Linked DNA regions of Drosophila melanogaster. The protein of the gene in region 2 interacts with the protein of the main gene of each other region in a pairwise test. Each region holds a gene or a part of one and is shown on either strand. Other genes may lie near its edges.

What was found. Proteins that work in one complex are often made in the same cells at the same time.
Region 1: the proteins of CG4367 (region 2) and Sp1 interact in a two-hybrid assay, tested with the Drosophila melanogaster proteins (one large-scale study listed by BioGRID).

The regions. Positions count from the first base shown.
Region 1 is NC_004354.4:9,727,994-9,732,704, reverse strand, and holds the start of Sp1 (Sp1), read right to left. Parts: upstream 3,058-4,711; 5' UTR 2,822-3,057; exon of another isoform or gene 2,406-2,821; 5' UTR 2,142-2,405; coding exon 2,028-2,141; intron 1-2,027.
Region 2 is NT_033777.3:20,303,409-20,306,836, reverse strand, and holds CG4367 (uncharacterized protein), read left to right. Parts: upstream 1-1,859; 5' UTR 1,860-1,881; coding exon 1,882-2,055; intron 2,056-2,116; coding exon 2,117-2,635; 3' UTR 2,636-2,882; downstream 2,883-3,428. Other genes in the region: CG4362 (uncharacterized protein), read left to right, coding at 1-293, 361-524.

The DNA.
Region 1 (4,711 bases), on a different chromosome or scaffold from region 2:
CGTCTGCACTTTGGTTCGACAAAAAAAAAAAAGGTGAAAAAATCGGAGAAAAATGAACGTTGGAAAGGAGGGAGGGGGGAGGGGCAGGTGGTGGCCAGGGGCAGCAGATTGAAAGTGCCTCAATCACATTGCGTCCATTTGGCGTTGCTGACTCTATTAAAAGTGTCATGCGATTCGGGCTAATCCTTCAGAACAGAGATAGTATATCTAAAGTACAATCAACCCTAATTTATTTATTTAATTATTCGTTTGGCTAAACTTTTAAAGTATACACTTTAGAACACACTATATTCTTCTTTAAATACTTTACAAACCCTGATTCTGATTTTAATGACTTCTAGCATTGACATCAAAGTTTTCATTTGGGGAATTTAACAAATTATTTTTAGCCAACTGATCTAGCCGCTGACCTTTTGCTGTGAATTACAGGGTTTTGAACCAATATCATATGATGTGGGCCAGCACGATGGACTTGCATAATCAGCTAACTGAAATTCGAATTGAAATCGAGAGCAAAAGCCCGGAGGAGCCGTACAAAAACGATCATTAGCGGAAATCTGTCTTAGTTTTTCGGTCCAGATCAAAGGCCGGACGAGATTGATGAGCGAATTTTGGATCGGGGCCAAAAGATCATTATGAACGGCTGCCTGATGCGTTTTAGCCTTTAAGTGTTTGCTTCCGCTGTGCGATAAGCGATACGAGTCGAAAAGTCAGCGTGGAAATACGATCTCTACAGATTTGCCAAAACCCCAAATGAAACAAAAAAAAAAAACAACAAAAAAAGATTTTAAGTAGACCCAGGAATGATTCCATCGTTAGCTTCACACCTCAAGTGAGCCTGAATAATTGATTTTGAGAGCGAGAAACGAGAAACGGCAAACGGCGCCTACCTGGTACCTCAGTATCTCAGCCTATCAATAGTATCTGTATCTGCAGCTATGTATCTGCGGCGCATACCGTGAAATCCGTTGGCACACAGAAAACAGTGAAAAAATCCGGGGCTGAACAAGCCGCGTCCAATCGATTTGTATCCCGTTCCCCGGCATTAGATACTACCAAACAATCCCGATGAGTTCCAATCATCATCGCCTCACAAAAGGAATCCAGCTGAGCGGCTGACAAAAGGTGTGCGCTACTGTGAATTCCTCGGATGCGAAATCGTATCCGTAACTGAATACAAATCGAAATCCGCGGCGTCTGTTGTCATTGTTTGTTTATGGCTGTTTATTGTCAATGCTAATGCCGTGTAAGTGGCTGATTTGTCCGATTACTGTACGTATGTACATATATTTTATAAGCGACAATTGGTAAGGATTTGGCAGCCGCAACTGTGAGATACAGAAATACTTGCCGTAAAGTAACTTCTTGACTTCTCTGCGCGAATGATTTATGTCGAAGTGCACGAGTGTCTGCGGGAGGCATTCATCAAATCATGACTAAGTCAGCAAATGCCTGCCAGTCACTTGTGCGCAGTGAGCCCACATATGTATCTATGAGATACTTTCGGGCTAAACTCTGCAGCGATAACTATGAAATGTTTAGCGAAGCGAATAGTGGGTGTAATAAATTGCTCTTAGTACATTGGCATTTTTCGTTTTTGGGTGCAAAAAACACTAGTTTTTCTAGAACAGTTGATTAAGACCCAATTATGCTTGTAATTCTGTATATTACAAATATTAACTTTCTGACATGACAATTGTATCTAAAGTAATGGTCACCATAATTGGCATAATTTTATAATTTCTTATACAGATTGATACATTTGTATCTCTACACCCTGTAATTGTATCTGTATAATAGAATCTACTACTTTTGGGCTATGCTGTCGATAGTTTTCTATTCGATGGATGGCAATTGTGTGTAAAGTGACGGTAAGTGTGCATAATTGAGGCCCAGTGTTAAAAGAAAGATACACTTCGATAAGAACGCTCTGACCAAATCGTATCTGTAGTGACCTATCTTGCAGATACATATCTCGAGGTGCGGTTTTGGTATCTTCGGATTTGGGATTTGAGATTTCGGCTTACCGGATTAACTTGTGGCTTCTGCAAGTGTGTGGCGATATTGCTGATGTTCATGCCCATGGCCGGAATCTGGGATCCGTAGAGCTGACCGGCGGTCGGTGTCATGTCCGTTAACATGGTTGCTGTGGATGTTCCTGCTGCGTCTCCTGCTGCTGCTGATGTTGCTGCTGCTGCAGTGGCAGTGGCAGTTGTCGTTGCTGCTGCGGCTGCTGCTGCTGCTGCTGATGTCAATTTGAGGCGCACAATGATGCTGTCTGTTTTGCTTCTGCTTTGTTTTGCGGCCACTTGGGTTTAGGGTTCGATTTTCTATTCTTTTCTTCTTGCTCAACTCAACTACTTTTTTCTTTGTTGCGACTATTGTTGCAGGCCAGGCTCACTGATCTTGGAGAGTAAGGGAAAAAAGATGTAAAGGACATGGACAAATGGATTGGCAAGCACAGCACAGCACAGCACAGCACAGCACAAGCACACACGCACTCAGAAAAAAAGCAAAGTGGGCTAAATCGCTTGAGAGCAGATTATGGCCCAGCTAATAGCCCAGATATGTATAATCCGTATCTGTATCTGTATCTTTTCTCGAGTCCGTCGGCGTTGCACTTTTCTTCACTCGGCCGTCGGCTGATGTTTGCTGCTGAGAGTTGCAATGTTTGACTGCTCTTATTGTCACTGGGATTTTGTGCCTATATATGGGCTTAATTTTTTTTTTATTTTTTTTATTCTTTATAGACTTCTTTTCTAAGGAACACAGGCAAAAAAAAAATGAAATATAAGCGATGGAAATTAAAGGAAACTCGAACCAAAAATGCACACAGTTGTTTTGTTTAGCTTGGCTGCTTGTTGGCTTGTTTATGTTTGTTTGTTTGCTTGTTGGTTTATTGTTTATTTATTTGCTTGTTTGTTTTTATGTTTATTTGTTTATTTATTTGTTTGTTTGGTGACAGGAGGCGCCTGCCAACGAAAAAAAAGTGTCGCTGCTGTATCCGCGCCAAAAGTAACGCCGTCGTCGCTGATCGTTCAAAGGCTTGCAACTGTTTCACGCGAACAAAAAGCTTGTCTAAATGTCGCCGCTGCCACCAACGCTGCCACAGTCGCTGCCGCTGCCGGCGTAGCTGCCGCAGCGGTGCGAGTGAGATAGCACACAGTCGTAAATTCACTCCAACTAACCAAAATTCAACGTGGGGGCCAACGATGCCATCAGTGCAAGCGAGACGCTCGTACAGACAATCCAAAAACAACAGCAACAACAAAATATAAAACAACACACACCACTCTCTAGAGTGGTGCGAATGGGTGCCAGGGGTAAAGATATATATATATATATATATATGCATTCGTGTATTCGTATTTTGGTGGTGTGTGCGCCTTTCCCTTCCAGTTTCATTCATAAAAACCCCGGCTGCTTTGGGTAAAACCAGTTCCCAGAGCACAGCCCCCTCTATATGAACGCTTTGGCCAATGGCAGATCGGACGGGCCTAACCTATAATTAGAGCGATGGCCGCTGTGCGAGCGAGATGGCACGCACACGGACACGTGCCCCTCGTGCCGTCTCTTTCGACAGTCCTGCGGCCCTCTCTTTCATCGCGTGCCTGCGTTAAAAACTGAAAACAAATGCACACACGGCAACAACTACTATTGCGTTCAATTAAATGTTCGCCAATGTTGTTTTCCCAGAACTGGATAGCTGAAAATCGTAGGAAAAACAAAAGGGTATACGAAATATATGTATGAGAATAGAAATGAAAATCCACGCAAGATGACAAATTGTTTTCCATTTCGACTTTTCGTTACTATCGGTCGCAGCGAAAGGGAGTTTTGCGGGGAAATGGTCGTGTTTTTACCTCGAAAACGACTAAATTAAAGAAAAGGAAATTTGGAAAAGACCAGCGAAACTTAGATTGCAACAGCTTTGCCCCCAAAAGTAGACTAACTCTGGAAATTGCGACTTTAAATGGTCTTAGCTTGAGCAAAATAAATCCAGGTGTGGTTTTATCACAGCGTTTAGAAATGGAAAATATTGCTAAATATATATAGATAGTTAAGAATGTTCGAAAATCATAACAAATACTTGGAAGATTTCACCGGATGTAAGGCTGCAGAAAAGGGTTTAACAATTGGAATTTATCTGACACATTTGAAAATTCTGTTTCAGAAAATTCACGAAATTCAAAGTATTTGTAAGATTACATAGCATGTTATTTTAGTAATATTTTAGGAAAACTAAAAACAATGTACATATGTACTTAGACTCTGATTTGGAAGATCCCGAGAAGTCGTGATTATTCGGAACCCAATCCAGATTAACCCGTGCCAGTTGGGCCTCCCACAGCTGGAAGCTGCCGGTCGAGCTGTTGCATTTCAGGGCTGCAGCTGAGAAGCGGGCTAATTGAACCACACCCCCTGTACCGCCCCGCCTCTCGCCGCCCCACCCCTCCGGCCTTTCTATGCAAACAAAACGCCCAGGCAGCCGAAAAACGCCAGCCCCTGTGAGAAAAGCTGAAAAGTCCAAAAACCAGCAACGGACTGTCGATGGAGGTGGATGATGTGGCAGTAGAGATGTGGAAGTGTGCCCAGCACAAGTTGCCTGGCCGCGGGAAATTCTCTGCACAGCGGGAAAATTGAGGAAAAGTGGGCCTTGTGCCAATCAGTATGCACGTATCGAGCATAATAACTTGATAATGAAATCAAT
Region 2 (3,428 bases):
AGGAAGCATCGGTGGAGCTGGTGTGGTGACCAGGAGCTACGTGGCTGGCAATACCATCACCGTGGGCGTGAAGATCACCACCAATCACTTGGGTTACTTCGAGTTCCACCTGTGCAACCTGGACGCCTTCGGTGCCGAGTCGGAGGAGTGCTTCGATCAGAACCGCCTGCGATTCATCGATGGAAGCGATAGAAAGGATATCGGCGATCAGATGGGCGAATTCGATGTGACAGTCGTCCTGCCGGAGGGTCTTACCTGCTCTCACTGCGTCCTCCGCTGGACCTATGTGGGTGGTAAGTGGTGGCCAGAACGTAAATGGAACTTAAAGTGAAAATTAATTGAACATCTTGTGCATTTCAGCCAACAACTGGGGCATCTGCGATAATTCCGGAAACGGAGCCTTGGGCTGTGGCCCACAGGAAACATTCAAGAACTGCGCCGATGTGAGCATCTACTGGGGTCGCAACCTGGTCAAGGAATTGGTCGGTGGCGGAGATCCAGTGGCTCCGGTTGAGGTCGCCTGAAAATCCAGACTAAAATTCAACGAACTGCCATTTATGTCTGAAAATGCAAAATGCCAAATAGTCAGCTAAAGTTATTTAAATAAATGAGTGAACATTTACACATTAGTTAATTGGGTCCTTGGAGCTGCTTCCTATTTATAGAAATTTAGTTTTATTTACTGTTTAATTTTGAGATCTTATCCAATTTAGATACATTATTTAAACAGATGTTAGAGATAGACACATCATAACCAATATTTTTTAAGTCCAAAACTATGCAACAAATTGTATAAATCAGAATTTGTTAATGTTCTACGGCCTTCAGGTATACAGTATTTCTGCTAGGTTTTGACCTAAAAAGCAAGCAAAAAAAAATAATAGAAATTTGTTTATATATAATAACAATAATAGTGTGTAAATTGAAGGCGAAGTGGCTTTAAAGAACAGAATTACGTTACTTATAGTTCGATTCTTTTCATTGCAAATTTCAATATTTTGTTCGCTTTCACCTTGATTATTAATGCTTAATTGATGATTCTGAGAACACGTTGTATCGATAAAACAAAAGCATATAACCGCAAAAGTTGACCAAATAGATTGTGTTTATAGGGCAATTTAAATTTATGAAATCTGAAGATAGATATGCATCTTTTTTTGCAGTATGTGCTAAAATATATGTCTTATTTTGAGCCAAAGGGCCATGAAAAAGGAAAATAGTGGCTTCAAAGTACTCGCATGTTTTATCTGGAGGCATCATGGAATAATCGAAACTAAATAATTGCTGATTTATTAATATACGAGCAGCTTAATCCCTGAACTTAAACGTGGCCAATTTTTTTTAGCTGCGCGCAAGTGCTCTAAATTTGTTGTTTAAAAAAACATTTGCGTTTTTGGCTATTGTATGGACCGTACTACAATATATGATTGGCAGAAAAGTGCTGAAGTCAAAACCAACTAAAATAGTAAGTAATTGCACTTAAGAATCGTTGACCTTGGCTAACAAATTTTGCGAAATCGTGAGAATTTTTCCAAGCCTTTGAACTCCTATCAAAATGGCATTGGTGGGCTAAATAATAATAGCATAATAAAGCAGTCTTCCAAGTTATTATGATTAGGTTACCAAAAAATACGGGTATTGCTTAGATGTGTCATATGTGTTTTCACACTTTCCAGGTCAGATACAAGAAATTCTCCCAAATTCTAACTACCAATAACCATAAACGAAATTAAGATTGTGAGCCGATAAGATGCATTCACGGTTATTGGACGAAAAATCAAAAACAAACATAAACTGCCCGGCAACTGATAAGGTTTGGCAATATGGAACTATATAAGGCCACGACCAGTTCGTTTTGGCCACAAAGAAAGTGAAATCAATATGAATACGTATAAATTTATCCTGTTTCTTAGCATGGGTTTTTTAAACCGGATGGGTGAACTGGAGGGCCACGGTATGATGTTAAGTCCAACCGGAAGATCCTCGCGTTGGCGCTACGATAACTCGGCGCCAACAAACTACGATGACAATGCATTATATTGCGGTGGATTTTGGGTAGGAGTGCCTTAAAAAAATTCTATATTCATTTGATTCAATGATGTTCTTAACCCTTTAGAAACAAACCGAAAATGATGGCAAATGTGGACTGTGCGGAGACGACTGGAGCTTGGAGCAGCCGCGACCCAATGAGTTGGGTGGAAAATATGGCAGTGGAGTGATTGTAAAGAGCTTTGCCGGAGTAGATGAAGCGGAAATTAATGTTAAGATCACAGCCAATCATCTGGGCTACTTCCGCTTCCACATCTGCGATTTGGACGAAAATGGCAGCGAGTCGGAGGATTGCTTTAACCAATATCCTTTGAATTTCACCGACGGTAGCCAGAAGTACTACATTAACACCACCACTGGCGATATCCCAGTAACCGTGAAACTGCCCAGTGATCTCAACTGCATTCATTGCGTTTTGCGCTGGACTTACACGGCGGGAAATAATTGGGGTGTTTGTGAGGATGGGACGGGCGCCATGGGTTGTGGGGCGCAGGAAACCTTTATTAACTGCGCTGATATCAGTGTACTATCCTCAGCGAGAAGTATTATCCAGGAGGTGCCCGTGGAGGTGGCGGAATCGAAGTGAGGTGGTTATCATCAGCGGTGGCCAATCGAACAATACTGCTAGTCTCAATAAATTATGTAACTTATTTATTTCTAATTGTTCCAAATTGTTCATCAACAATACGATTTTGTTTTAAGAAAAGGTTATTTTATTACTTCAATTCTTCATTTATGTATTGATTTAACAATACTTGATAAAAAATGCACCTCAAAAAGTTCCATTTAACAATAAGACAATAATAGTTAAGTATTTACGAACCACCATAAATAAATGCCATTTTGAAAATTATGAATGTTTATTTCTGTTTTATTCAATAAATTAATCGTCGTATATATTATTTATACATATATATGAGTGTGTGTTTTGAGTGTGTGTGTGGATTGTTGGTGATGACCGTTCGTCTTTGAGGTGCAGGGCATCGCACTCCCTCCTCCTAAGATGGATCCTACTTATTAAATTCTTGATTCTGAAAGCCCTGTCTTAGACGTGTTCTTAACGATCGGATGAGATTTGCACGGTTGAGTGCTTAAATATTTGTTGTTTTTAAGCTATCCTGTTTATGTTCGTATTTGTATCTTGTATGTTATTTTAATATTCGTAATTTGTCTTAAGTTATTCGTGGCTTACAAAATATGTTTCACATTAACTGGCTTATTAGTTAACTTCACAAATAAGTTGTATGTATATATATATGCATTCTTTTCTTTTATATTTTACAAAGCCTTCAAAAGTCAATTGCAAACGATAAGTCGGTAAATTCACTACAAAACTCAAAAGTCGCGTTTTAAGAATATCTATTGGTTTACGTTTTCCT